Linked DNA regions of Ovis aries. The protein of the gene in region 1 interacts with the protein of each later gene in a biochemical or structural test. Links are inferred from orthologs where the notes say so. Each region holds a gene or a part of one and is shown in the gene's direction. Other genes may lie near its edges.

Evidence for each region.
Region 2: the proteins of SHC1 (region 1) and ERBB4 form a complex in vitro, tested with the Homo sapiens proteins (2 studies listed by BioGRID and IntAct, with this or other methods). The link is inferred for Ovis aries from reciprocal best matches to the Homo sapiens genes SHC1 and ERBB4.
Region 3: the proteins of SHC1 (region 1) and GAB1 form a complex in vitro, tested with the Homo sapiens proteins (2 studies listed by BioGRID and IntAct, with this or other methods). The link is inferred for Ovis aries from reciprocal best matches to the Homo sapiens genes SHC1 and GAB1.
Region 4: the proteins of SHC1 (region 1) and CSF3R form a complex in vitro, tested with the Homo sapiens proteins (2 studies listed by BioGRID, with this or other methods). The link is inferred for Ovis aries from reciprocal best matches to the Homo sapiens genes SHC1 and CSF3R.
Region 5: the proteins of SHC1 (region 1) and PTPN12 form a complex in vitro, tested with the Homo sapiens proteins (2 studies listed by BioGRID). The link is inferred for Ovis aries from reciprocal best matches to the Homo sapiens genes SHC1 and PTPN12.
Region 6: the proteins of SHC1 (region 1) and ERBB3 form a complex in vitro, tested with the Homo sapiens proteins (2 studies listed by BioGRID and IntAct, with this or other methods). The link is inferred for Ovis aries from reciprocal best matches to the Homo sapiens genes SHC1 and ERBB3.
Region 7: the proteins of SHC1 (region 1) and FLT4 form a complex in vitro, tested with the Homo sapiens proteins (2 studies listed by BioGRID). The link is inferred for Ovis aries from reciprocal best matches to the Homo sapiens genes SHC1 and FLT4.

The regions. Positions count from the first base shown.
Region 1 is NC_056054.1:105,187,764-105,191,263, reverse strand, and holds part of SHC1 (SHC-transforming protein 1), read left to right. Parts: intron 1-610; coding exon 611-809; intron 810-895; coding exon 896-965; intron 966-1,038; coding exon 1,039-1,173; intron 1,174-1,337; coding exon 1,338-1,576; intron 1,577-2,392; coding exon 2,393-2,521; 3' UTR 2,522-3,500. UniProt on the Homo sapiens protein: Signaling adapter that couples activated growth factor receptors to signaling pathways. Participates in a signaling cascade initiated by activated KIT and KITLG/SCF.
Region 2 is NC_056055.1:213,136,239-213,139,738, reverse strand, and holds part of ERBB4 (receptor tyrosine-protein kinase erbB-4), read left to right. Parts: intron 1-271; coding exon 272-717; 3' UTR 718-3,500. UniProt on the Homo sapiens protein: Tyrosine-protein kinase that plays an essential role as cell surface receptor for neuregulins and EGF family members and regulates development of the heart, the central nervous system and the mammary gland, gene transcription, cell proliferation, differentiation, migration and apoptosis.
Region 3 is NC_056070.1:14,499,040-14,502,539, reverse strand, and holds part of GAB1 (GRB2-associated-binding protein 1), read left to right. Parts: intron 1-883; coding exon 884-977; intron 978-2,217; coding exon 2,218-2,341; intron 2,342-3,500. UniProt on the Homo sapiens protein: Adapter protein that plays a role in intracellular signaling cascades triggered by activated receptor-type kinases. Plays a role in FGFR1 signaling. Probably involved in signaling by the epidermal growth factor receptor (EGFR) and the insulin receptor (INSR).
Region 4 is NC_056054.1:11,303,789-11,307,288, reverse strand, and holds part of CSF3R (granulocyte colony-stimulating factor receptor), read left to right. Parts: intron 1-639; coding exon 640-763; intron 764-916; coding exon 917-1,104; intron 1,105-1,893; coding exon 1,894-2,063; intron 2,064-2,180; coding exon 2,181-2,334; intron 2,335-2,426; coding exon 2,427-2,506; intron 2,507-2,885; coding exon 2,886-3,099; intron 3,100-3,500. UniProt on the Homo sapiens protein: Receptor for granulocyte colony-stimulating factor (CSF3), essential for granulocytic maturation. Plays a crucial role in the proliferation, differentiation and survival of cells along the neutrophilic lineage.
Region 5 is NC_056057.1:45,131,365-45,134,864, reverse strand, and holds part of PTPN12 (tyrosine-protein phosphatase non-receptor type 12), read left to right. Parts: intron 1-192; coding exon 193-335; intron 336-2,294; coding exon 2,295-2,361; intron 2,362-3,500. UniProt on the Homo sapiens protein: Dephosphorylates a range of proteins, and thereby regulates cellular signaling cascades. Dephosphorylates cellular tyrosine kinases, such as ERBB2 and PTK2B/PYK2, and thereby regulates signaling via ERBB2 and PTK2B/PYK2.
Region 6 is NC_056056.1:163,445,690-163,449,189, reverse strand, and holds part of ERBB3 (receptor tyrosine-protein kinase erbB-3), read left to right. Parts: coding exon 1-83; intron 84-2,018; coding exon 2,019-2,132; intron 2,133-2,233; coding exon 2,234-2,354; intron 2,355-3,500. UniProt on the Homo sapiens protein: Tyrosine-protein kinase that plays an essential role as cell surface receptor for neuregulins.
Region 7 is NC_056058.1:345,175-349,323, forward strand, and holds the start of FLT4 (vascular endothelial growth factor receptor 3), read left to right. Parts: upstream 1-1,349; 5' UTR 1,350-1,372; coding exon 1,373-1,439; intron 1,440-4,149. UniProt on the Homo sapiens protein: Tyrosine-protein kinase that acts as a cell-surface receptor for VEGFC and VEGFD, and plays an essential role in adult lymphangiogenesis and in the development of the vascular network and the cardiovascular system during embryonic development.

The DNA.
Region 1 (3,500 bases):
TCACGTTCTTGCCTCTAGAAGCCATCAAGAATTTGGGCAAGGGAGGATGGCTCTTTCCTGAGATGGTCACGTTTCCCACCTCAGACCAGTAGGATCGAGTATTTAGAGGAGGGGTTGGGATATTCTAGGGCACCCCCTCCCTGGTTACTTGGTGTCTCCCCTCCCTCTTGGGAGACCGCGTGACGATCAAGGGCATGACGTTAAGGCAAACTCTGAATTGACACTCGGCTCCACCAGTAGCGGTGGTGGTTCAGTCGCTAAGTCATGTCCAGCTCTTTGCGACCCCATGGACTGCAACACGCCAGGCCTCCCTGTCCTCCACTATCTCCCAAGGTTTGCTCAAACTCGTATCCATTGAGTCGGTGATGCCGTCTGACCATTTCTTAGTTGTGTGACCAAAATCTTTTTATCCCTGATCATCATTTTCCTCAACTAAAAAACTGGAGAAGGAAACAGTATGTGCTTTATCGGTTGCCCAGAGAGTGAAATGATTATACGTGAAACACCCATCCTCAGGCCTACCCCTCAGGGAATGCCCCATACGTGACCACTGTTCCGTTCTCCCTCCGTCCTCCCATCCACACTCCTTTCTCCCTCCTGTCTCTCTCAGGATGGCTGGCTTTGATGGCTCAGCTTGGGATGAGGAGGAGGAAGAGCCCCCTGACCATCAGTACTATAATGACTTCCCGGGGAAGGAACCACCTCTCGGGGGTGTGGTGGACATGAGGCTTCGGGAAGGAGCCCTCCCAGGGGCTGCTCGACCCACTCCACCCAGTGCCCAGACCCCCAGCCACCTGGGAGCCACGCTGGTATGTTGCTTGGATGGAGGCGGGTGGGGCTTGGATGGGAGCAGCTGGTTAGGGCCTCTGGTTTCACTCTGTCTTGGTCCCTGCAGCCTGTGGGGCAGCCTGCTGGGGGAGACCCAGAAGCCCGCAGACAGATACCGCCCCCGCCACCCTGCTCAGGTATGAAGGGGACTGAGGGGCAGAGGGGAGTGAGAAGCAGGGCGGGGCCCCTCTAAAGCCTCCGTTTTCTCAGCAGGCAGAGAGCTCTTTGATGACCCCTCGTACGTCAATGTCCAGAACCTAGACAAGGCCCGGCAAGCAGGGGCCGGGGCCGGGCCCCCCAATCCTGCCATCAATGGTAGTGCACCCCGAGACCTCTTTGATATGAGTAAGTGTGCCTCTCGCCTTTCTGTGTCTCCATCTTCTCACTTGATTCCTCCTCTTTTCCTGCCTCTCTGCTTTTTGCTTCCTGGCCTCCCCTCCCTAAAGGTCTAGGTCCTGAGCATAGGGTTGTGTCAGCTGCCTCTCCTAGCCCTCTCTCTGTATCCCCAGAGCCCTTTGAAGATGCCTTGCGAATGCCTCCACCTCCCCAGTCAACAGCCATGGCTGAGCAGCTCCGAGGGGAGCCCTGGTTCCACGGGAAGCTGAGCCGGCGCGAGGCTGAGGCACTGCTACAAGTCAACGGGGACTTCCTGGTGCGGGAAAGCACGACCACGCCGGGCCAGTACGTGCTCACCGGCCTGCAGAGTGGGCAGCCCAAGCACCTGCTCCTGGTGGACCCTGAGGGAGTGGTGAGTGTGGCAGGGGTGTAGGTGGGCATGGCAGAAAGGAAGGTGCAGTCCCCTACCTGTGGCTCTGCTCCTGCCTCACTGCTTCCTAGACTTTGTCTGCTGGGCACCTCTGTCTGGGCCTCCCCTGTTCCCAGGTGTCTGGCATCTCCTTCGTCTAGTGGTTTAGAGTTCCTTCCCTTCTCACATCCCTCACCTGAGCTGTATTCCCTTCAGTCCTTGCCAGTCCCCAAACGTTGTGCCCTTGAGAGCTAGAAAGTGGTCATCTCACTAGTCCCTCTTTTGACAAATAAGGAAACCATCCGCCAGAATTGTAGTGCTCTATGTCAGATGTCTAGAGGCGAAATATCCTGAAACTTTTCACAAGAGGAGCCAGGGGCCTCCCCAGCTCCTGCAGACTCAGGAGTCAGACCAGAGCCCTGTCTCCTGTCTGCGCCGCCCGCTGCCCCTCATGACTTCACTCTTGTTTCTGCAGCAGTCTCAGCCTCCTTTGCATGTCTTTTTGTGTCCTGTGTATCCTCTTCTTGGACATACCGCCCTCCTCCAGGTCAGGGAAGGAGTAGCTAGCCTTCAGTTTCACGACTTCTGGGCTCATGTCTGTTCTGCCTTTTCCCAGTTCACTGACTTGCCCATTCCCACATCTGTCTCCAGCTTCTCTTCCCAGAGAAGCCTCAGTGATCAGAACTGAGAGCCCTCCCTCTCCTGCCATCTTTTTCTCCTGCCTCAACCCTCTTGACTATCCCAGCTTCCTCGGCCTTGGAGACTGAGATTTTATCTGACTCTTCACCTGAATCTCCTTTCTCTGTTCCCACTCCCCAGGTTCGGACAAAGGATCACCGCTTTGAGAGTGTCAGTCACCTCATCAGCTACCACATGGACAATCACTTGCCCATCATCTCTGCGGGCAGCGAACTGTGTCTCCAGCAGCCTGTGGAGCGGAAACTGTGACCTGTTCCAGTGCTCTCTCTCAGAAGACGGCCTGCGGTCCCTTCCACCCTATTCCCTGACTCTTTGGACCTCACTTGGGAGTGTTCGTGGGCTTGGCCTTGTGTAGGACTGGGGATACTGTGGACACTGGGTTCAGCATGCAGCTGAGTGAGAGGGTTTGAGTCAGGAACCAGGGGTAGAGTCCTGCTTCTCCCCAAACCTCACCAAAGTATTAATGTACAGAGTGGCCCCCTTCCCTGGGCCTTTCCTGTGCCAACTTGATACCCTTTTCCCCAAGGTGGGTGCTGGAGGCCTGGGCAGGATGCTTCCTGGTAATGGAAGATGTTCTGTGGTGATAGGCCCAGTGGAGTAATCACCCTTTCAGGGAAGGGGAACTGAATCATACCTTTAGTCTACCCCTGGGCTCAGGGTACCCCAGACTCCTCAACAACCCTCCCTCCCAGCATTCAAATTTTGTGCCTTTGACCATCTCCTAGGTCTGAAGATATTTTATGCAAAGAGTTCTTGGGCCCCTGAAGTCAAGGATGGGGGTGCTGACAGCTTCTTGGCTTCTGGGACCCCGTCCTCTCCTCGCTCAGCACCTCCTCCAGTTTAGGTTGGGCCAGCAGAGGCAGGAGTAGCAGCTGTCCCCTCTCCCTGGGATGTGCAGCCCTTAGAGACTGCCGCGGCACCCTGCTCTCAGCCAGTGGGGAGATGGACCCCTCCCTTGCTCAGTGCCTCCTGGCTGGGGCCCCTCACCCAGGGCTCTGTATATACATTTCGTAAGCCACCCCCCCCCCCCACCATGTTGCATGCATGTTATACTCTACAGCCAAAGTACAGCCCTTCTTCCTGGCCTCTGCCCTGCCTCCCCCTGCAGGGGTGGTGAGGGGGGTGACGGAGCTGCCATCCCAGCTGGATTTGGTCGAGGTGGGAACAGGGGCATTGAGACTTTAAAGCAGTAGACAATCCCCAGATACCATTGGTAGGTTTGGAACTG
Region 2 (3,500 bases), on another chromosome or scaffold:
TCTCCAATATGTAGGAGAGACAAATATAATTAGAAGAGAAGAAGAACAGTCTAGGGGTCAGGAACTCTGACGTTGGCCCTGTTGGTGCCTCGTTTTGCCACTAGCATTTTTTTGCCCACTTACTCCTCTTTCCTATGACAGCTGTAATCAACAAAATAGTTTTGGGGAAAATTCATGAAGCCCGTGGCTTTATTGTTCTGGAAAAGGCACCATGGCCAGAATTACATTTTCCAGAAAGTAGATGTTAACTGATACTTTTGTATTCCATCAGAATACCTGAACCCTGTGGAGGAGAACCCTTTCGTTTCTCGGAGGAAAAATGGAGACCTTCAGGCTTTGGATAATCCCGAATATCACAGCGCTTCCAGTGGTGCACCCAAGGCAGAGGATGAGTATGTAAACGAGCCGCTGTACCTCAACACCTTTGCCAACGCCTTGGGGAACGCCGAGTACCTGAAGAACAGCGTACTGTCTGTGCCAGAGAAGGCCAAGAAAGCATTCGACAACCCCGACTACTGGAACCACAGCCTGCCACCTCGGAGCACCCTCCAGCACCCAGACTACCTGCAGGAGTACAGCACAAAATATTTTTATAAACAAAATGGACGGATCCGGCCTATTGTGGCAGAGAATCCCGAATACCTCTCTGAGTTCTCGCTGAAGCCAGGCACTGTGCTGCCTCCGCCGCCCTACAGACACCGGAATACTGTGGTGTGAGCTCCGCAGTGGTTTTCAGGCGGAGAGACACACCCACTCTAATTTCCCGCCGCCTCTCTTTCTCTTGTTTTCTTCCTTCTACTCCTAAGGCCAGTAGTTTTGACACTTCCCAGTGGAAGCTATAGAGATGCAATGCTAATTTTGTGCTTATCTAACTTGAACATTAGAAGGAAGGATGAAAGAGAAAGAGAGGAGGAACCACACTGTTTCTTCATTTCTCTGCATGGGTTGGCCAGGAGACTGGAACAGCTAGAAAAGGACACGCAAATAGGAGGCAAGACTGCCTGCCGTCAAACTAGTTCTCAGCGTCCCCCACCCCACCATTGTTTTCTTTTTATTCCTTCCTTCCTTTCTTTCAAAGCAGATGCTTGGAAGATCCAAGCTATCTATTCCTATCTGCAGGAACTGATCCGTATATTTTCAGCATCCCTGGTAATCCTAAGGACGTTTTCAGTAGAACAAAAGGATAACCTTTTCTATAATGTATGATAGTAACTTAAGATTGAAAATCCAAACTCTTTCTCCACCAGGGTCTGTCTTGACAAGCAAGAATGGCCAACTCAGCCTTCATAATTTTTGAATCTTCATCCAAGTTATAACCAGTAATTATGTTTGGGGAGCTTTTTTGTTTTACCATTTTGTTTTGCTTTGATCTTTCTCTTCATATTACTTTCTCCTGTATCTTCAGCTTTAGTTTGTAATTGCAAAGCTTTTTACATCAAACCTTCTTAGGTGTTGCTATAAATTGAAAGAATTGTAAAAAGATATTTTAATATGGTGAAATGGCCACTATTTTAAATATACAGTCTTTAAAATTAGAAGGGGAGGCCAAGGTATTGGTCAAACATAGCATTAAATCTAACTTTTGTGTTTTACAGTATTGAATATGGATTCTCCTCCCTCCCTTCCTTTATATTCTTCATTTTCTTCCCCTCTATGAAAGACAGTACTTGATAGGTAGTAATAATGTTAAGAATAGAAGGGAAACTAAGAGACCGTTCTGCGTGATTTATAAAAACTACTGGCACTTTCAGGGGTGGTCCAATGGGGAATCCTTTGAACTGGAAGAAACACACTGGATTGAGTATGTCTACCTGATAGATACTCAGAAATGTAGTTTGCACTTGAGCTGTAGTTTTATTTGTTCTCTTTCTGAACTTCATTTTGGATTTTGAATGAAGCAATATGGAAGCAACCAGCACAATAACACATTTGAGTACATTTTTTTTAAAGAGCTAAGATAAAGAAAGACTGTGGAAATGCCAAACCAAGCAAGTTAGGATTTTGGAACAGTATCAGGGGATTATGGTGAAAGAGTCAGTACATGCTCCACATGTAATATCACATTTTCTACATGAGGAAAGTTGTCCAGTTTGTACACTCCATTTGAAGGAATGCAAGTAAGGATTGGCTTAAATTCCATGGAATTTTTAGTATAAGACTCATTCATATTAAGTGGAAGGTAACTTTGCACCTAAATTGGTATAACAAAAAGAAATAAATAAACATTCATTGCTTTAGATAGATCCTTGGGTTAAGAGTTGTAAATAAATGTGAAAAAAGTTTCTCATGTAATTATTTTAATATACAACATACTACCCTTTTGATACCTTATATGATAACTCTTTTTCTTCAAACAGCATCCTAGTTCTAGAGCCATCTTTATTATGTATCATTTTGAAGAATACCTATTAAGTTAAGATGAGCAATAGAAACAAAGGATAGGGTTGAGTTTTCAGAAAAATGGAGGCCTCAGGTCAGCAATTAGAAAAATTGGATATAAATCTGCCCCTTCTAGGAAAATCTGCCCCAATTTATTTGGAATTTTGTAAAATATATTTCTTTCCAGTGATAAAATATTGGGAATTTGAATGTATCACCTGGTGGTGGTGGTTTAGTCGCTAAGTCATGTCCGACTCTTGAGACCCCATGGACTGTATCCTGCCAGGCTCCCCCATCCATGGGATTCTCCAAGCAAGAATACTGGAGTGGGTTGCCATTTCCTTCTCCAGAATGAATCACCTAATTGAAAACAGACTGAAAATCTCCATGGGAAATAGTAGGAAAAAAATGACAAGAAATCTAGGTTTCTGCCTATTTTGAAAAAGTAAGTCTCTCCACCCATTCATCTCCCTTTTTTTTCAATTCATATTTATTTATAGTCTACTAAAAGCACTGTGTTATGTGGGGAACACCCAGATAAATGCAATACTATCCCTAACTTTAAAATTTTACAATTAAAATGTATTTGGAATGACATTTAATTTTTTTTTTATAATTCAAAGAATACAGTTGCATGGACTCTTTTTTGAACAATTGTATAAAATCAGCTATTTGTTAAAAGATCTTCTGTGAACTCATCTGGGACATGAGTGAAACGTCCTACAAGTTACTGAAAGTAACGCATAGGAGAGTTTCAGTGTTATCATCCAAACGCAAACTGGTCTAGAAGGGTATTGTATCACTGGCTAAGTGTCACTTCCGGATTCTAACTTAGCCATTAAATCAGCAGTAGATGTTGGTTTTTGCCCAAGAACATTGGAGACATTGGAATTGTTTTCTTCTGAAGTTGTGAAAAGTGAGGGAAGCTAAAAGAATGAGGTCGAGTAAGGAGGGGTTTTATGAGAGCCCTTACAGTGAAGTTCAAGCATGAGTTTCCCAAGGGTGAAGACAGAATGATTCAGGGCCACAGCCTAAAAGCTCAGAGTTCTTCCACCCAGTCAGAGGAATCTCCAGGAAAAGCAGTCCTCACATCATCATTTATAGAAGTTTAGATAGAAACC
Region 3 (3,500 bases), on another chromosome or scaffold:
AGCTAATAGTGTTGTACTTCTTTTTGCACATTTTCTGTATTCCTGGAATCTGAGTCTTACTTTGAGGGCAAAGAGCTCTGTGGTATATACTAGCAGAGTAGTTAATTCTTGCAGTAATTGATTGCAATAATGGGGTAAGTTAGTGAAGACCTCTTACAAATAAAGCTAATAAGAATATTAGCATTTATTTTTACTTAATTTAATAGAGGACATTGTTGGTTAAAAGAAGCTAAACATTTGAGGTAGTTAATTTTATGGCCTTTCTCAGATCTGAGTTTGAGTATAAAGACGTAATTATTGCTTTGTTCTATTTGGTTCCAGACTGGACCCGAATTAATTTCAAAACTTTAATCATTGATTCCTTTTTAAGTTTTTGATTTTAGCAAAGTGTTATGTTTATTGCTTTCGAAACATCATTTTGTATGTAAAGTTGCACAGCTCATGCTTCAGTGTGGATAATGAGGAACATTTTTACATAGAAAATTAAACCTCTGTGTTTGACGATATAACATTAGTAGAAAAAATAAAATAAGGAAATAATGAAAATTATAAATCAAATAACTCTGAAGGAATTGTGCCACATTACTCTTCTTCTCATTAAGTTTATAGTCATAAAATATGTACTTCAATTAAGAAGCAACATGTAATAATAGAGCTTTATTTAGACTTTCAGTAAACAGTCAGGAAATTATCTAATTTAGCCTTTGTCGCTAATTTTTTTAGCTGTGTAACCTTGGAGAAATCACATAACATCTGTGAACTTCTTTTCATGTGAAAACTAGCCAGTCCTAGGTGTACTCTGGCTATAGTAGAGGTGTAGAAAGAAGGTCATGTTTTCCAAATTTCTATGTACTAAAATCTCATTTTCTCTCTCTTGTTTCAGTCAAGCCAGCACCTTTAGAAATAAAACCTTTGCCAGAATGGGAAGAATTACAAGCCCCAGTTAGATCTCCCATCACTAGGAGTTTTGCTCGAGAGTAAGTCTTTATATAAAATACATAGCTCAATTGTTCTTTGTAATGGAAAGTACCTAAAACAGTGGTTCCCAGAGGATGGTCTGGGGAACCCCTCCCCTTTTGGGTTTCTGTGAAGTCAAAACTATTTCATTAATATACTAAGATGTCATTTGCTTCTCCACTCTCCTTCTCTCATGAGTGTACACTGGAGTTTTCCAGAGGTGGCTAATACTGGGCGATAACCATTGTGGCAGCTAAGAGAGTGTGCCTTTGTGTATGCCTGTGCTTAATTTTTTTTCTATTATTTGTAATATGGTGAATGTCAATAGATATCACCCTATAAACGAAAGTTCCTTGGGGTTCTCAATAATTTTTTAAGAATGTGAAAGGTTCATGAGGCTAGAAATTTCTGAGAACTACTGATCTGGAAACTATGGTAGTTTCTTGTGAGGATTATTTAATAAAGATTCATTTAAATATATACGTGGAAATAAAAAGAATGTACACAGTTACAAACCTGTGTTGATGTGTTCATATTTTATATGTATAAACAAGTTTTTTTAAAAATAAGAATGCTTAAATCTTCCTTTTTAAAGCTGTGACTTTCTATTTATCCCCCATATCACTAGCGATACTTTTTTTCTTTCTTTTTTTTTTGCTCTGCACAAGGCTATTAAATGCCCAGAAACATCCCTTTATGGGGAGATGTGAGTTCAGTCCCTGAGTTGGGAAGATCCCTTGAAGGAGGGCATGGCAACCCACTCCAGTATTCTTGCCCTAGAGAATCCCATGGACAGAGGAGCCTGGTGGGCCACAGTCCAGAGAGTCGCAAAGAGTGGGACATGGCTGAGCCGACCTAGCACAGCACAGCATCCCCTCACAGGGTGGGGGATCGCAGTAAGGAAGGGCAAGTAGGAGGTTCAGACTACTGGGTGTAACATAGGCTCAAGAATGTGTTGTACAACATGGAGAATAGAGCCAACATTTTGTAATAACTATAAATGGAAAGTAACCTTTCAAAGTTTTTTTTTTTAATATCTGTATAAGTTTCTCTTTAAATATCTGTTTACAAATAGCTATAAACACTAGATATGTGTTTGAATGTCTGCAATAAAGTGGACTATAGTAAATATGTATAGTAAATGATTACAAGCTTCAGTTCTTCTGGGAAGAATATGCCCTCTCTCTTATTCTTGCTGTGGAAGCGAGCTGAGAAACCTGGGTCAGGCTGTGTGTTTGTGACGACCCTCTCTGCCCTCAGCTCCTCCAGGTTCCCCCTGTCTCCCCGGCCGGATTCTGTGCACAGCACAACTTCAAGCAGCGACTCGCACGACAGTGAAGAGAATTACGTTCCGATGAACCCCAACCTATCCAGTGAAGACTCCGTGAGTAGCGTCTTCTCTTAACATCTCTCTTCCTCAGCAGCCCTTCTGAGTCGTTCGCGCTCAACCTTTCTTCCAGTTCATACACGTTACCCATCCACCTTTCTTTGTTTACTCCAGGAAAAAGGACTTTTTTTTTTTCTTTTGCTCTGTATGTATTTTAATTAATTCCATACTGGAGAGTGAGGAGTTTGAATAAGAAGTTAAGGAGAGTTTTTAAAATGCTTTTGAAAAGCAGATCATAAAGTCTAAAACCAATATCGGGTCAGAGGGTAATACTATATCTGTAAAGTAGATATAAGTTAGATAAAGATGATAAAAAATTTTCCAGTTATATTTCTTTTCATATGTACTTGATGTTTGAAACCATTCAAGAAAATGCGTTATACTGGAAGCATTTTATAATGCATTTCTCCAGATTCAAATCAGGGTGCTCAGGATGCTTTGTGTATTCATTTACACAAAGATCTAAAATCAAGCATTCATGAAATGAACCCTTCATGTTCCTTAAGGGTTGAAAATTAAGTTACGAAATTCACTTAATTAAGCACCTGAAATTCAAGTTATGGTACATCATTACTAATGACATATATTGTTTGTAACAATAACAAAAATATGTTTAATACTTGTATGTATTTTTTTCAAGAATTTTAGAAAAACAAAGCACTACTATTTTTTCTCTTTTTTTGGCCGTGACACATGGCATGCGGGATCTTAGTTCCCTGACTAAGGAACCAAACGCTTGCTCCCTGCGGTGGAAGTGCAAAGTCTTAGCCACTGGATCACCAGGGAAGTCCCAACTAATTTTTTTTTCTTTTAATTCACAGAACACCTCATAATAACTCCTAGAATCTTAGGGTTTTTCTAACTCTTTTGGGGAAACACTGTGTTAAAAACTAGAAGGCAGACACGGGCTGTTCCCAGTTGAGATTAGATAGGGAGCAAACAGACTTTTTTGTCGAGACATAGATTTTAACAATACTTAAGGATGAAAAAAATGCCAGTTCTATTAATTATTAGACAGAGCACAATTTAACTAGCAATCCTAAGAAATTCACTTTAGGAACAACTTACTTAGATTAAACGTGTACATCACATGAATTCAAGGGTTCTGTTCATAGCCTGCAGTGCTGTGAATAATTCTGTACATTTTCAGTTAGGG
Region 4 (3,500 bases), about 94 Mb from region 1:
AGGTTCTTGTTTAAGAATCAATAATAGTGAAAATTAAGATTTACAGAGCACTCACATATGCCAGTTGGAGAAGGAAATGGCATCCCACTCCAGTGTTCTTGCCTGGAGAATCCCAGGGATGGGGCAGCCTGTTGGGCTGCCATCTATGGGGTTGCACAGAGTCAGACACGACTGAAGCGACTTAGCAGCAGCAGCATATATGCCAGGCACTGCTCTGAGCACTGTATGCCTAGTAAGCCACTCAGCCCTCACAATAACCCTAAGTGGTAGGTATATTACCATTACCCCCATTTTACAGATGAGGAAACTGAGGCACAGAGCCATTAGGTGACTTCAAGATCACACCACTGATGAGTGGCAGAACCAGGATGAAAACCCAGACACTACACTGTTACTGTCAAAAAGGGCGGAGTTGAGAGGGTTGGAGGCTCTGTTTACTTGTCCGTGTACGTGTGGATAACTTAGCTTACCCCAGGGCTGCCCTTCTGGGGTCACCCTGCATAGAGACAAAGGCATGGCAGATGGGTTGGCAACCCACTTGCCATGGAGACCCAGGGCAAGGAAATGCCCAACTGATCCCAGTGGGAGCTTTCTGAATGGTCTTACCTGAAGCCCTCATTCTCTCCACCCTACCCACAGACCCTCCCACTGCACCCCACAACCTATCCTGCCTCATGAACCTCACAACCAGCAGCCTCATCTGCCAGTGGGAGCCAGGCCCCGACACCCACCTGTCCACAAGCTTCACCCTGAAGAGCTTCAAGTGAGTAAGGGTCCTTATGCCAGCCCCATTACTTTGGGTTCTGGGACAGACCACAGGTAGGACTGTGGGGTGGAGAGCCAAGGCAGAGATGGGGAGGAGAAGGGAGCTTGGCTTTCTGCCCCCGCTTTACATCCAAGCCTGGCCCATTGGCAGGAGCCAGGACAAATGCCAGACGCAGAAGGATTCCATCCCTGACTGCGTGCCGGAGGACGGGCAGAGCCACTGCGCCATCCCCCGCAAACACCTGCAGCTGTACCAGAACATGAGCATCTGGGTGCAGGCCAGGAACGCGCTGGGGACCAGCGTTTCCCCGAAGCTCTGCCTTGCTCCCATGGACGTTGGTGGGTGACGCTGGGTGTGGGGGAGGAAAGAGGTCCCCACCATGAGCAGACTCAGAGACGCACAGGGAGGGAAACACAGACCCAGCAACAGACAATAAGATGCTGAAAGACCTGGAGGAAGAGAAGGGAGAAAAACAAAGTGGGATTCAATTGAAGACGGAGCTATGGAGACACAGACAGGGATGTGGGAGAAACACAAGCAAGGAGACACACTCATTCATTCTTCCAGCAAATTTCCTGAAGCGCCCACTCTGCGCTAGGCACCATTCTAGGGGCTGGGAATACAGCAGTAAATAACACAGCAAAAATCGTGCCCCCGAAATTTTGCCCACTTACATTCTGGTGGGCAAAGAATAATAAAATGTCAGGTAATGGTATGTGTGATGAGGAAATTAAGCCGGGGATGGGGTAGGGACAGCTGGGGAGAAGGCAGTCAGGGAAGGCCTCACTGAGAAGACAACATTTGAGAAGATCCTTGCAGGAAATGAGGGAGCAAGACACTGTATATTCGGAAAGTAAGTGCTCCAGACCGAGGGAACAACCAGTGCAAAGGCCCATGGGGCAAGAGTAGGAAAGGGAGAGAGAAGCAGGCTCATGGACAGAGACAAACCTGCAGAAACAGGATGACGCAGAGATGAAGGGACACAGAGAGAGATGGAAAGATATAGAGATACCACGATTGGAGACCCAGAGAAGAAATGGAACCACAGACAGGGAGACAAGGGGAAGCCAGGACAGAGCCCTGGAGGATGAAGCAGAGAAAGTGTCCGATAACTCCTCTCCTTGCAGTGAAACTGGAGCCCCCCACACTGTGGGCCCTGGAGCCCAGCCCTGCGGTGGCCCCACCCCAGCCAGGCTGCCTGAGGCTGCGCTGGGAGACCTGGAAGCCAAGCCTGTACATAGAACAGAAGTGTGAGCTGCGCCACCAGCCTCGGCTTGGAGAAGCCGGCTGGGACCTGGTGAGGCAGAGGGCAACCTGAGGGGCCTGGGATGGGGGTGGCTGAGGGGAGGGTAAGCTGAGCTGGCCCTGAAGGGCACAGAGGTCCAGGCCAACAGTCATGCCTGTCTTCCACCAGGTGAGCGGCCTGCCTGCCAGGACCCCCCAGTATGAACTCTGCGGGCTCCTCCCATCCACAGCCTACACCCTGCAAATGCGCTGTACCCGCTGGCGCCTGCCCGGCCACTGGAGCGAATGGAGCCCCAGCCTGGAGCTGACCACTGCACAACGGGGTGAGCAGGTGGTGAGGGGCTAGGAGCAGCCATCAGGACCCAGGCTGGCCTCCGGGGCCCTCCCTGACCCTCCCCTCCCACTCCCTCCACAGCCCCCATCGTCAGACTGGACACGTGGTGGCGGCAGAGGCAGCTGGACCCCCAGACGGTGGCCGTGCAGCTGTTCTGGAAGGTAACCCCCTCTGAAGGCCATCCCTCCACCTCTTCAGATTCAAACAGACCCCTGCAAGCTGGGGCTTGGGACTCCAGCAGGCCTGGCAGGCTTGGATGCATCTGTACGTGATCTGCACACACTTTGCTGGGCAGTGCCCTTCTGCAGAGACTACAATGCAGGACTCACCTTGTTAGGCGCCTGCTGCTCACACTGAGTTACTTTATCCTTTCCTCCCTTCTAGGACCTGGCACAGGGGGAGAAGGGAGGGAGGGAGGAGGACTGACTCCCAGTCTGGGTGGCTTAGTTCCGGGGACACGGACGCTCCATCTAGAAGCTCTCCCCCACTCAAGATGAGCTGCGCATCCCCTCGTCTTTTTCCTCCTATGCCCACTAACAGCCAATAGCCCTGGAAGAAGACAGCAGGCAGATCCAAGGTTACCTGGTTTCCTGGAGACCCTCAGACCAGGCTGGGGCAGAGCCAATCCTCTGTGACACCACGGAGCTGAACTGTACCTTCCAACTGCCTTCAGAAGCCCGGGAGGTGATCCTTAAGGCCTATAACACAGCTGGGACCTCGCATCCCACCCGCGTGGTCTTCTTGGAAAGCAGAGGTAGAAAGGGCCCACAGCTAGTAGAGTATGGTGGTTAAGTAGGTAAATTCAGAGGCTAGACTGCCTGGGTTCAAATCTAATCCTGTTACTTGTTAGCAATGAGATCTGGGCAAGTTGCTTACCCTCCCTGGCCTCAGTTTACTCATCTAGCAAATGGGAATGGTACAGTGTCTAACTCAAAGCATTGCTGTGAAGATTACATGAGTTTAGACATGTGCCTACACAAAGTAACTGTTCCATATGTGTTAGCGACTATTATTATCATTAACCAGAACCAAGTTAAGCTGGTGGCAGTGCCTACACACACACTCTATTCTGCCAAGGAAATGGGAGGGAAAGTTCTAAAGTTTTCCAGCTAAAACATAGTCCCTAGGGCTTCCCTGGCAGTCCAGTGGCTAAGA
Region 5 (3,500 bases), on another chromosome or scaffold:
TTCCCCATTGTATTACATGGGGGATTAAGAAAAGGTATGTGATAAATGTAGGCTATCATTTTTTTTTAACAAAGTGCTGAATATGACATACCTATCTTAGAAATGACAGCAAAGTGAGATGTGCAGCTTTTCTTTATGGTTTAAAATTTGTAACTGTATTTTTATATGGTTGAATTTCTGTTATTCTTGAAGGAATCTCGTAGGCTATATCAGTTTCATTATGTGAACTGGCCAGACCATGATGTTCCTTCATCATTTGATTCTATTCTGGACATGATAAGCTTAATGAGGAAATACCAGGAACATGAAGATGTGCCTATTTGTATTCATTGCAGGTACAAAAAATTTTTCTAAATATTTAATTAAATATTTTTCAGTATAGATGGCATTATAATGTGGGTAATGTATAGCATTTTGAAACATAAGTTTCGAATTTCATTCAGTTCAGTTCAGTTCAGTCACTCAGTTGTGTCCGACTCTTTGCGACCCTATGGATCACAGCACGCCAGGCCTCCCTGTCCATCACCAGCTCCCGGAGTTAGATTGGTCATTTAATTCCTGAGGCAGTTTTCCTTCTCTTAATTTTTTATTTTATATTAGATTTTTCCAAAAGACTTAAAATCATAGTACTTATTTCATAAAATAGCAATTTATTTTTTAAGTGACTTAAACCTGTATTCACAGTTGTTATGAAAAGTAAATGAAAATTTTCAGACTCAGAGGTTAATTAACTCAGGCTAATTCAATAGTTAAAAGGTATTAGTGGAGTTATATTTAAATTGGATAGCCAACAGGGGCCTATTCTGTAGCACAGGGAACTCTGCTCAATGTTATGTGGCAGCGAGTTTGGGGAAGAATGGATGGTTGAGTCTCTTTGCTTTCCACCTGAAACTGTCACCTCATTGTTAATTGACTCGAATATAAAAAATAAAAAGTTAGAAAAAGACATTAGTGGTGATGGAGCACCAAAGAGAGTTTTCTTAGCCATTTGGTTGGATTGTGATGCCTGTATTAGTGAAGTGAAAGGGCTGCTTTTTCTTATGAACCAGAAAGGTGACCTGCTGATGTAGACGTAGGAATCAGTTAGCAACCTGCTTAATTAAAATGATTTTTCTTTAGTTTGTCTGTGATTAGTTGAGTCTAAGTAGTTAACTGGTTAAAAAGAGAAGGGTCTGTTTAATTGTAGAATTAAAAGATAAATTGCTTTGGCTTGACTTCTTTACAAGTTAACTGAAATTATTTCCTGTTGTATTCATATTGTCCAGCCAATGTATAGGTCATAAACCCAATTTGATGTGAAGATTTTCTTTTAATAAAATAAAGTTGATCATTTAATATTTTCAAACAACCGAAATATTATGTAGTGTTTCATTGATATAGTTGTCTCTGTCTTTGTAATATCACACTTTTAACCACCAAGTTTTACATATATATCATTTAGCTCTAGTAACTCTTAACACTAAAATTTTAGAAACGTTTTGATGTGTGGAATTGACAAATAAATCAGTGGTTTAAAATTAATATTTTGATGTCTATTGTTAAGAGCTTTTTAGAAAACCATACTAAATTGCTTAAAATGTATTGTATCATGAATTCTTAGATTACATGATATTTCTAAAAGTTTCAAAATACATATTAAAGTGCTACCCCAATTTTTTTCTGCCTAAAATTATTAAAGATGTCAGTAGCATCTTTATTTACTCATAGTGATTTCCAGTCGTTGGGTGCATTTGCCTCCCTCTAGCTGAAAACCATTTACTTTATTTTTGTCGTGTTTTAAAATAACTAACTTTGATATTTTACTTTACATTCTTTAGGTTCTGTTCTTCAGGAGATTAGAAAGCATTAGAGGCCTTTCTTTCTTTAGTGTAATCACTGCTTATGTTCAAACCAGTTTCTAGGGCTTATTAATCTTCATCTTTCCTGTACCTTTTGCAGGTTGAAATGATGTAGATTTCTCCCTCTACCAGAGCTATCTAGAACATAGTATAAATTTATCTCTGCAAGGTGTTTTGTTAGCTAGACAAGGTTTCACGAGGTAGACAGACTTTCAAAGTGGAGGTTTCGAGGTATTACTCTTGCAGGTTCCTTAAAGGAAAACAATATGTAAATCATAATTTTAAGGATGTTTGCCCTGCACACATCTTAAGTTGTAGTTTACTTACTAAATAAGTAGAATTTTATCAGCTTTCTTAAACGATTTTCGCTTCTGAGTATTAACATATCCATCCACGTTTATCTTATAGTTCTTTTATTACAAAAATCAATTGTTTTTTCAAATTTTATATCCATAGTGCAGGCTGTGGAAGAACAGGTGCCATTTGTGCCATAGATTATACGTGGAATTTACTGAAAGCTGGGGTAAGAATAATTTTTATATAGCATTATATCTAATTCATCTGTTACGATTTTTAAACTTATGACTAATTGCAGTAAATTATGCCATACGTTTTGTTATACATGTTACTACTTTTTTAGAAGTAGCTTTGCTATGTAAGAGATAAAGGCAGTGAAAGGTATAAATGATGCGTATTAGCATGAGGTAATACACTGGGCAGCAAAATGAACATATTGTCACTCATTTGTTTTGGATGAATTTATACCTACATTAGATATGTATGCTCTGCGTTGACTTTTCCAAATACTGCATCCCTGGTGCCTTTTATATTTATCTATGTATAAATATAGTCAAGTCAGTGAATATTTATGTCTAACTGGAAACATTATATAGTTTAGTGGTTAAGAATGCTGACTGGAGCTAGACCTCCCAGGTTAAAATTCTTGGCTCTGTCATTTACTAGTTGTGGGATCTTGGTCGAATTACTTTATTTCATTGTGCCATAATCTCTTTATTTCAAAGTGGGAATCATACCGTTAATAATTGAAGAATTAAGTAAGTTCTTCAGAAACTTGTAAAGTTCATCACTACTGTATGTGGCAGATAGCAAGTGTTCCACTTACTGTTAGTTTTTATTATAATCCTTGTTATTATTGTTGCTACTACTTCTGTTTCCAAGAAATTGGTTTTGATACCATGGAGGATATAAAGAAATAGCCTTCATTACAGATTTAAAAAGCATAAGTCTCCTTATATGTAGATTTGGTTTATTTGCTGGTTCTATAGTACATTCATTTTCTATGAATTAGGAAGAAGTTTTATTCTTCATAGCTTTATAATTTCTATGAATATGTCAATCTGTCATATAAAATATGAATGATAAAATATTTATTTTCTTTTCATTCTTCCTTTTATTCATTTAACTTTTTTTTCTCTGCCTTTCCATTTTGTACTTTTGCATGAGGAATATTTAAATTTTCAATTGTTTTTCAAAAAGCCTGCTGTTTAATTTTATTTTGGTATTCCCCCATTCTAATCATTTCCTGATACTCATGAAATGAACAAAATTTAAGTGGCTTTATAACACATTTTAACATAAAAATCAGGGATTAAAATCAGGATGGGAAGCACTTGGATGAATACAAGCAGGCAAACATCTTGC
Region 6 (3,500 bases), on another chromosome or scaffold:
CTACAACAAGCTAACTTTCCAGTTGGAACCCAATCCCTATACCAAGTATCAGTATGGAGGAGTGTGTGTAGCCAGCTGTCCCCGTAAGTGTCTGAAGGGAAGGAACAATGGGAGTGGAACCAGGATTTTATTCTTTTAGCCTTTTTTTTACAAAAATTTATGTATTTATGAATAGTAGCGCTGGATCTTTGTTGCTTTGCGCCGCTTTCTCTATTGCGGTGAACCGGGTTCTTCTCTTAATTTCAATGTGTGGGCTTCTCATAGTGGAGGCTTCTCTTGTTGAGCAGCATGGGCTCTAGGCATAAAGGCTTCAGTAGCTGTGGCTCGTGGGCTCTAGAGCTCAGGCTCAGTAGTCGTGGCACATAGACTTAGTTGCTTCACTGCATGTGGGATCTTCCCAGACAAGGGATTGAATCTGTGTCTCCTAGATTGGCAGGCAGGTTCCCGTCCACTGTGCCACCAGGGAAGTCCTATCCATTTTATTTTTTTAATATTGTTTTTGCCACACTGCACAGCATGTGGAATCTTAATTCCCTGAACAGTGATTGAACCCATGCCCTTTACACTGGAAGCACGGAGTCTTAACCATTGGACCACCAAGGAAGTCCCTGACAGGATTTTATTTAATCTTATTCTGTGTGTGTTTGTGTGTGTGACCAGCGACCTGCTGTTTTTAAAATATAACATTTATTGCATAGATGGTTTGATACAAAAGAGCTTTTCTTCTCATTTTGAATTTGGAAGTACTATATGACTGAAAACAAAGAGGAAGGAAAAATACCAAAACTGAACTTGGGATTTTCTGTTCATGTGGTATAAACCAATTTTGTATGTAACATGTAGCAGCAGTTTTTAAGTTCCCTTTAGAAAAATATGAATTCCACACATTTGTTATTTTGTCCTGTTTAATTCATGGGCTGAAATCATTAGGATCAACTTCTTTCTAGAGGAAAGAGAGAAACAGAATGGAAGGAACAGTGAATCTTTCTGAAATCAGCATCCGACTGACACATAGCTTCCCCGGAGCTGGTGGAAAAAACAGTCCTTTGGGTTTTCTGTTTTGTTTTCATAGCCGGATGTTTTATGTAGTGATTGAATCTCAGCATCATGTCCATAAATCACAGAGAAAAACAAAACAGAGAAACTTGCACCTCAAAAAACTTTTAGGAAGATCTATTTATGTATCTATACCTATATACATACACATATATATATTGGGTAAAAACCCTGAGAGAAGGAGAAAGAGAATCAAAGAAAATGTATAGAAACAAATTAGCTGGACATGCAAACTAAGCTATGATTCATCCAGAGTTTAAACAAATCAAATTTCACAGTTTAGTATTGGGGGAGGGGACAGAACAACAAACAAATGATACATCTTCCAACTTCACTAATAAAATGTGGCAAGACTTTTATCGACTTCAAGGGTATGAATGAAGTCTAAATAAAACTTTAAATCAGTGGTGATTATTTTGAGTGGCAGTCCTGGCCATGTTGCCAGGCTGGTTCCTGCTATATATCTTACCCCAGGGGTAAGCACATTCTACTCCTTAAGTTGTGCTTCCTCCCACAATATTAACCAGGGTTTTAGATGAAATTTTTTCCTTTTTTTGGCCATGTCCTGACTAGGGATCGGACTCAAGCCTTCAGCAGTGAAAGCACGGAGTCCTAATCACTGTACTGCCAGGAAATTCCCTAGATGCAATTTTAGGAGGTGAAATGGATCAAGTTGGGAGTTTAATTGAGAGTGTAAAGGGCAATGGGTTGTGATCATCATCACCCTTAACAAATGGCCCCTATGTCCTGTTCCCCGTATCTGTTTCCCCATGACTTCCACCAATTGCTTCTAGTTCTGCTTTTGGGATCCAGAGAGCAAAGGGCCTTTCTAATCCATGCTTAGAATCCAGCACTTAAGGAACCTCCGGTGGTCAATTGGAGCAAATCCATGCAGATAAGGAGGGAGGCGGTTCAGCTGGTAGTTGGCAGTGTTCGTCCCTCATCTCTTTCCTCTTTCCTAGATAACTTTGTGGTGGATCAAACGTCTTGTGTCAGGGCCTGTCCTGCTGACAAGATGGAAGTAGATAAAAATGGACTCAAGATATGTGAACCTTGTGGGGGTCTGTGCCCGAAAGGTGAGTAAGAGATTGAAAGGAGTTGGTGAAGAGACACCCTTTCCCCTGAGACTACTCAGCCCCGACCCCTCATCCCCACACTGAGCCTCTTCTGTTTGCAGCCTGTGAGGGGACAGGCTCTGGGAGCCGCTTCCAGACTGTGGACTCGAGCAACATTGATGGATTCGTGAACTGCACCAAGATCCTGGGCAACCTGGACTTTCTTATCACTGGCCTCAATGGGTTAGAGATTCTGTTTTCATCCTCTGATCCCCAACCCCATCAACCCCCTCACAGTTCATTGCACTGGTTCAAGCCTTCATACGGGGAGCTGATCAGGAAGTTAGATCATAAAATCTTAAAGAGATCACAAAGGACCTGGCAGTGCTTAATCCCCCAGGGCTTGAATCCCCTCAGACACCCCTGAACAACCCAGCCACCTGAATGGCAAGGGACAGGGACAGAGTATCCTCCTTCTTAAAGGTTTCTAAATGTTCTTAAGTTGGATACAAATCTTTCTCCCCATGACTTCCAGCTGTTTCACCTAGTTCTGCTCCTTGGTATGGAGCCACAAAGAGCAAGGGACATTCCAGTCCACAGGACAGCGTTTACAGTGAGTGAGTGTGTGTGTGTGTGAGAGAGAGAGAGAGAGAGAGACAAAACGTTAGGACCACTTGTCTTTGGACAATATTGTATCTAAAGTTGCAAAAAATGGTACAAAGATTTTCCATATGCTCTTTATTCAGATCCCCCAACGGCACCCCACTCCAGTACCCTTGCCTAGAAAATCCCATGGGCGGAGGAGCCTGATAGGCTGCAGTCCATGGGGTTGCACGGACATGACTGAGCGACTTCACTTTCACTTTTCACTTTCATGCATTGGAGAAGGAAATGGCAACCCACTCCAGTGTTCTTGCCTGGAGAATCCCAGGGACGGGGGAGCCTGGTGGGCTGCCATCTATGGGGTCGCACAGAGTCGGACATGACTGAAGCGACTTAGCAGCAGCAAGTGTTAACAGTGTACCATAAAAAAAGGAAAGGAAAGTGAAGTCACTCAGTCCTGTCTGACTTTTTGTGACCCCATGGACTGTAGCATACCAGGCTTCTCCATCCTTGGGATTTTCCAGGCAAGGGTACTGGAGTGGGGTGCCATCGCCTTCTCCAGTGTACCATATGCTTTATCATTTCTCTCTCTACACAACACACACACGCACACACACACACTCATTATATATGCTCTTGTTTTTCTGAACCACTTGAAGGTAAATTTCCAGACATGGTGTCCTCTCACCCCAGTGACATTTCAGGGTGTATTCCTTGAAAACAAGAACGTTTTCTTACTTAACCACAGTACATTTGTTTAAATCAAGAAATTAGCAGATACAAAAT
Region 7 (4,149 bases), on another chromosome or scaffold:
AGTCCATGGGGTCACAAAGAGTCAGACAAGATGACTAACACTCACTTTTTCATAGGTCTTCATAGAAATACACATGAATCTCACAAAAGATGCTGAGCAAAAGATTATGCAATGAACAAGCAAAATATGTCTGGGAAATAAAATGATAAAGAAAAGCAGGGAAATGATAAGGCCAGGTTAAAAACAAGCAAAATATATCTGGGAAATAAAATGATAAAGAAAAGCAGCGAAATGATAAAGCCAGGATTTGGGGGTTAAGGAGGAGAAAGGGCAAGCTTCTGGAAAGCTTGTGCCATTTTATATTCTTTAATCTGTGGGACTGAAACAGAAGTGTTTGCTTTAAAATTCTCATTTATAGTACCTTGATTATATATCAACGTATTTAAACTAAATACAATATATTAAAACCAAATTTCAATATGTTAAAACTAACAACAAAAGTTGAAAGAAAAGCAACATGTGGTTGAGGAAAAGGATCTAACTTCGTTTATTTGGTTGCCTACCTTTCACATTATTTATTAAATATTCCATATATGATTACAACTTAAGTTCCATTCTTTCTTGCATTAGAGATTTAGTAACAATTGTTTCCAACAAGGGTTTTTGACAAGGATGAATGGACTTTTGCAGGTGGTAGGGGGAGGGATAGTAAAAGTGTGATTATGAAAGCAGAAGAGGGAGACAGTCATGCTCATGGGATTTGTTTTTAAATAGGAAAAATCTAGAGACAGACCTGAAAAGAGAAAGGAAGTCTATGAAAGGGTTGCCAAGTCGGAGAGCAAACTGTCACCTGATGAAAGGACTTCTGAATGAGCTCAGAGCAAAACTATTTGGAGGAAATCTAAAGAGGACATGCCTGCAGGATGGAGGTTAGTTATACTGGGTGCCTGGCCCAAGGGTCCAGTCTCCATCTACACCACGTAGGCGGTAAGATAAAGTTTACTGAACGGTCTCAAAGATTTGATATATTGCTATTTTAAATTATATTGCTTTCTTCTTTTTCCTACTTTAAACATAGTATTTATTAACTGAAGGAAATTACAGAAAAATACGTGCTGCCACGTTTTGTCCAATCTTGGCGGCTGGGTTCGTGCCCTTTTTAACTCACAATGGCCAACCTGAAGGGTTGCGGTTGACTCGGCAGTGGGGCGCGGACCAGCCCTCCCTCGCGCCAGCACCCTCACGTCGCTGCGGCAGTCTCCTGCGAGAGGGCGGTCCTAAGAGGTGCGAGGGCCGCTCTCCGAGGCCAAGGCCGCCGCGGGAGCCCCGCCCCGGCCGCAGCCCCGCCCCGGCCCCGCCTGCGCGGTGCCTCGCGCCCACACTCAAGCGCGAGCCGCGGTCGCACGTTTGATCCGCGCCACCGCGGCCGGAGATGCAGCGGGGTGCCGCGTTGTGCCTGCGCCTGTGGCTCTGCCTCGGACTGCTCGACAACGAGCGTGGTGAGCCCTCCGCCGGCCCCAGTGCGCAGCTGGCCACGAGCGGGGACGCTTTCCCTGGGCAAATGGTGGGACTGCACGGACGCGAGACCGGTCGGGGGACGGGGCCCGCGGGACCCTTGGGCACGAGGGGAGACAGGGTTGAGAGCCAGGAATTCAGATCCCGGAAGGAGCACAGAGAGTCGGGCCGGGCTTGCCGGGATGAGGAAAGGGAGAGGACGGGCCGCGGGGCAGCCCAGCAGCGTGGAGATGGGTTCTCGACTTCACTCCACGGTCTATGGTTCAGCTCCCTTGGACCCGGGCCCCTTCGCGCTGCATCCTCAGCCTGGATCCTTCGCTTGCTTACACGCTTTTCTGCGGAGTCGGGGCACCGCACTACTCTATCCTGCGATCCGCGCGCGCTGAGGTTGTCCCCCAGCGCAGAGGTTGCAGTCCCCGCCAGGTCGTAGTCTCGGAGGCGCACTTCCCCGCGACTCTAGTCTGCGCTCGAGATCAGCATTCCTGAGGGAACTCTGGTTGCTGTTCACTTTCCCCAGGCCAAGGACTGCTGGGATGGAGCAGTCCCAAGGGATGCAGGGAATCAGGCGTAGTCCGGGAAAACTGGGCGCAGTTGTTGGATTTTGAGGCTGATCTTGAGTCAGCAGCTCGTAAGTGATCAGCATGGCAGGAGAGGCAGAAGGCCGGCCCTCGCCATATTTGGGGGGTAGCACCCTGGATGGCCAAGCTAAGGATCATAAGGCAGGGGCTGCAAAGAAGGGTCTTCAACACAGGAGAGGCAGTGTGGAAACAGGTGATGGGAACATGACTAAAGGTTGCCTCTGAGCGATCGGAGGGAAGAGAGTTTGGGGATTGAGGGAGGGGTGGCTGTTTGCAGATGTCAGGGGGAAAGCATCAGGAATGAGAGGCAGATGAGCTGGAAGCCCATGAGAGATCCAGTGACCCTGGGGGTCAGAGGGCGGAGGACCGATCATGGGTCCCCAGTGTCTGAGGGAGTAGTTCTGAAAGATCTGAAGGGAGAAATGGATACCTCTATTTTTAAACACTGTTGGCTTTGAATACTGGCTTTACATGTTTCATTTCTTTTAATCCTCACAAGGAAATGTTAGACCCTTTTTACAAACGGGAACACTTGAACCAAGGACAGGGGTAACTTCCCCCAAAGTCCTCAGGAAGCCAGTAGTAAAGGACATGTTCAACCCAGGTCTTTGGGATACAAGAACCCCATTCTCTGTGTCTATATGGGCTGAAGGGCTGGGGAGAGTGGAGTGAAGGGAAGTGTGGGTGAACCTAGGGGGAGGAGGATGGAAGAAGACAACTTCCGGCCTCCAAGTCAGGGCAGGTCTGAGCAGAGGGGCTGCCTCTTGGCCCTTCTTTGCTCCCCTGCACCCTTCCCAGGCCCAGGCTTTCACAGGTGCCGTGGTTGGACTTCAGGGCTGAGTGGGATATCCCACCTTGAGAAGACATCCAGCAGGCAGTGGGTACAGTGTCCAAGGCTCAGGAGAGAGGCTGAAGAGGAAGCTGTCCCAGGATGGGACCATCTTCCCCAAAGAGGGGACCAGAGAGCGAGAGGCTTCCAGGGAGATAGAAAACATCCAATGTGCAGAGTGTAAGGAAAACCAGGAGAGACTCACGTCCTGGTGCTCCTGAGTAGAGCGAGTGCAAGGTAGCAGACAGAGGGGGGATAAGTCAGTCTCGCAGTGAGTACAGGTGATTCTTACCAAAGCTGGGCAGTGAGGGAGAAGAGAAAGAATGAAGCCAAGGGGCCCGTGGAGGGGGACAGCCTTGGCTGGACCAGGGCACGGCTGGTAGGGAGATAACCCGTTGAGAGCAGACCATTGCCACAGTCCCTGAGCCTTATACTTGTGCCACCCACTTTGGGGCTGAAGAGGACCTGAGAAGCCCCTAGACTGATGGGAGTGCTGGAGCAGAAGCTCAGACATTCCAGTGCAGCCCCAGTGTGAGGCCACGTGCTGGCAGGTGAGCAGCCTGGCCCGAAGGCGACCCTCAGAGATGTGGTGCTTGTCCCAGAGCTGGCTCCTTCCTGGCTCTACCCCTAAATTACTTGCTGTGTTGCCTGGACCCCTCCCTTCCTCTCCTTATGCCTCAGTTTGCCCACACATAGCACTGCAACAAGCTGGCACGCTCTGAGGGGCTGTGCTTGGGGCTGGACTCCTTACCCCAATCGTGTCCCTCTAGAGAAGGCAGATGGCAGAGGCCACCTCCTACAGGCTTTATCTCTTGGGGCTTAGACTCTATAGAGGCTGTCTGTGCCTCTGAACGGTGGGCAGTCAGCTCAGGGACATGTGGGGAAGGAGGCAATTGCCAGGAAGCTTGGTTGGCCAGCCATGAGGCTACTGGTTCCTACCACGGCTGAGACACTCATGACCATCCCAGCTCTTTCCCGTCCCTGCTCCTCAGCCCTGAGCCAGGGCCAGGTGTGGACAGAGGTGTGGGAGAGGGGCAGGCATGTGAGTCAGTGCAGGTACAGCACTGGCCTTAGCTCAGTGCTCTGAGGACTCACATACAGGCGTGCTCACAGACCCAGCATGCTGGAGGCACTGGGTCAGTGTGGCCGAAGGACTCTTTGCCTCCCCACAGCACAGTGTCCACATGACCAGGCACCAGGCTGGGCATGAGGTGTGACAAGGGGACTGTCTGGCCATCTCCTTGCTGTGCCACCCCCACCCTGACCCCCAGGCAGTGGCAGGCAGCC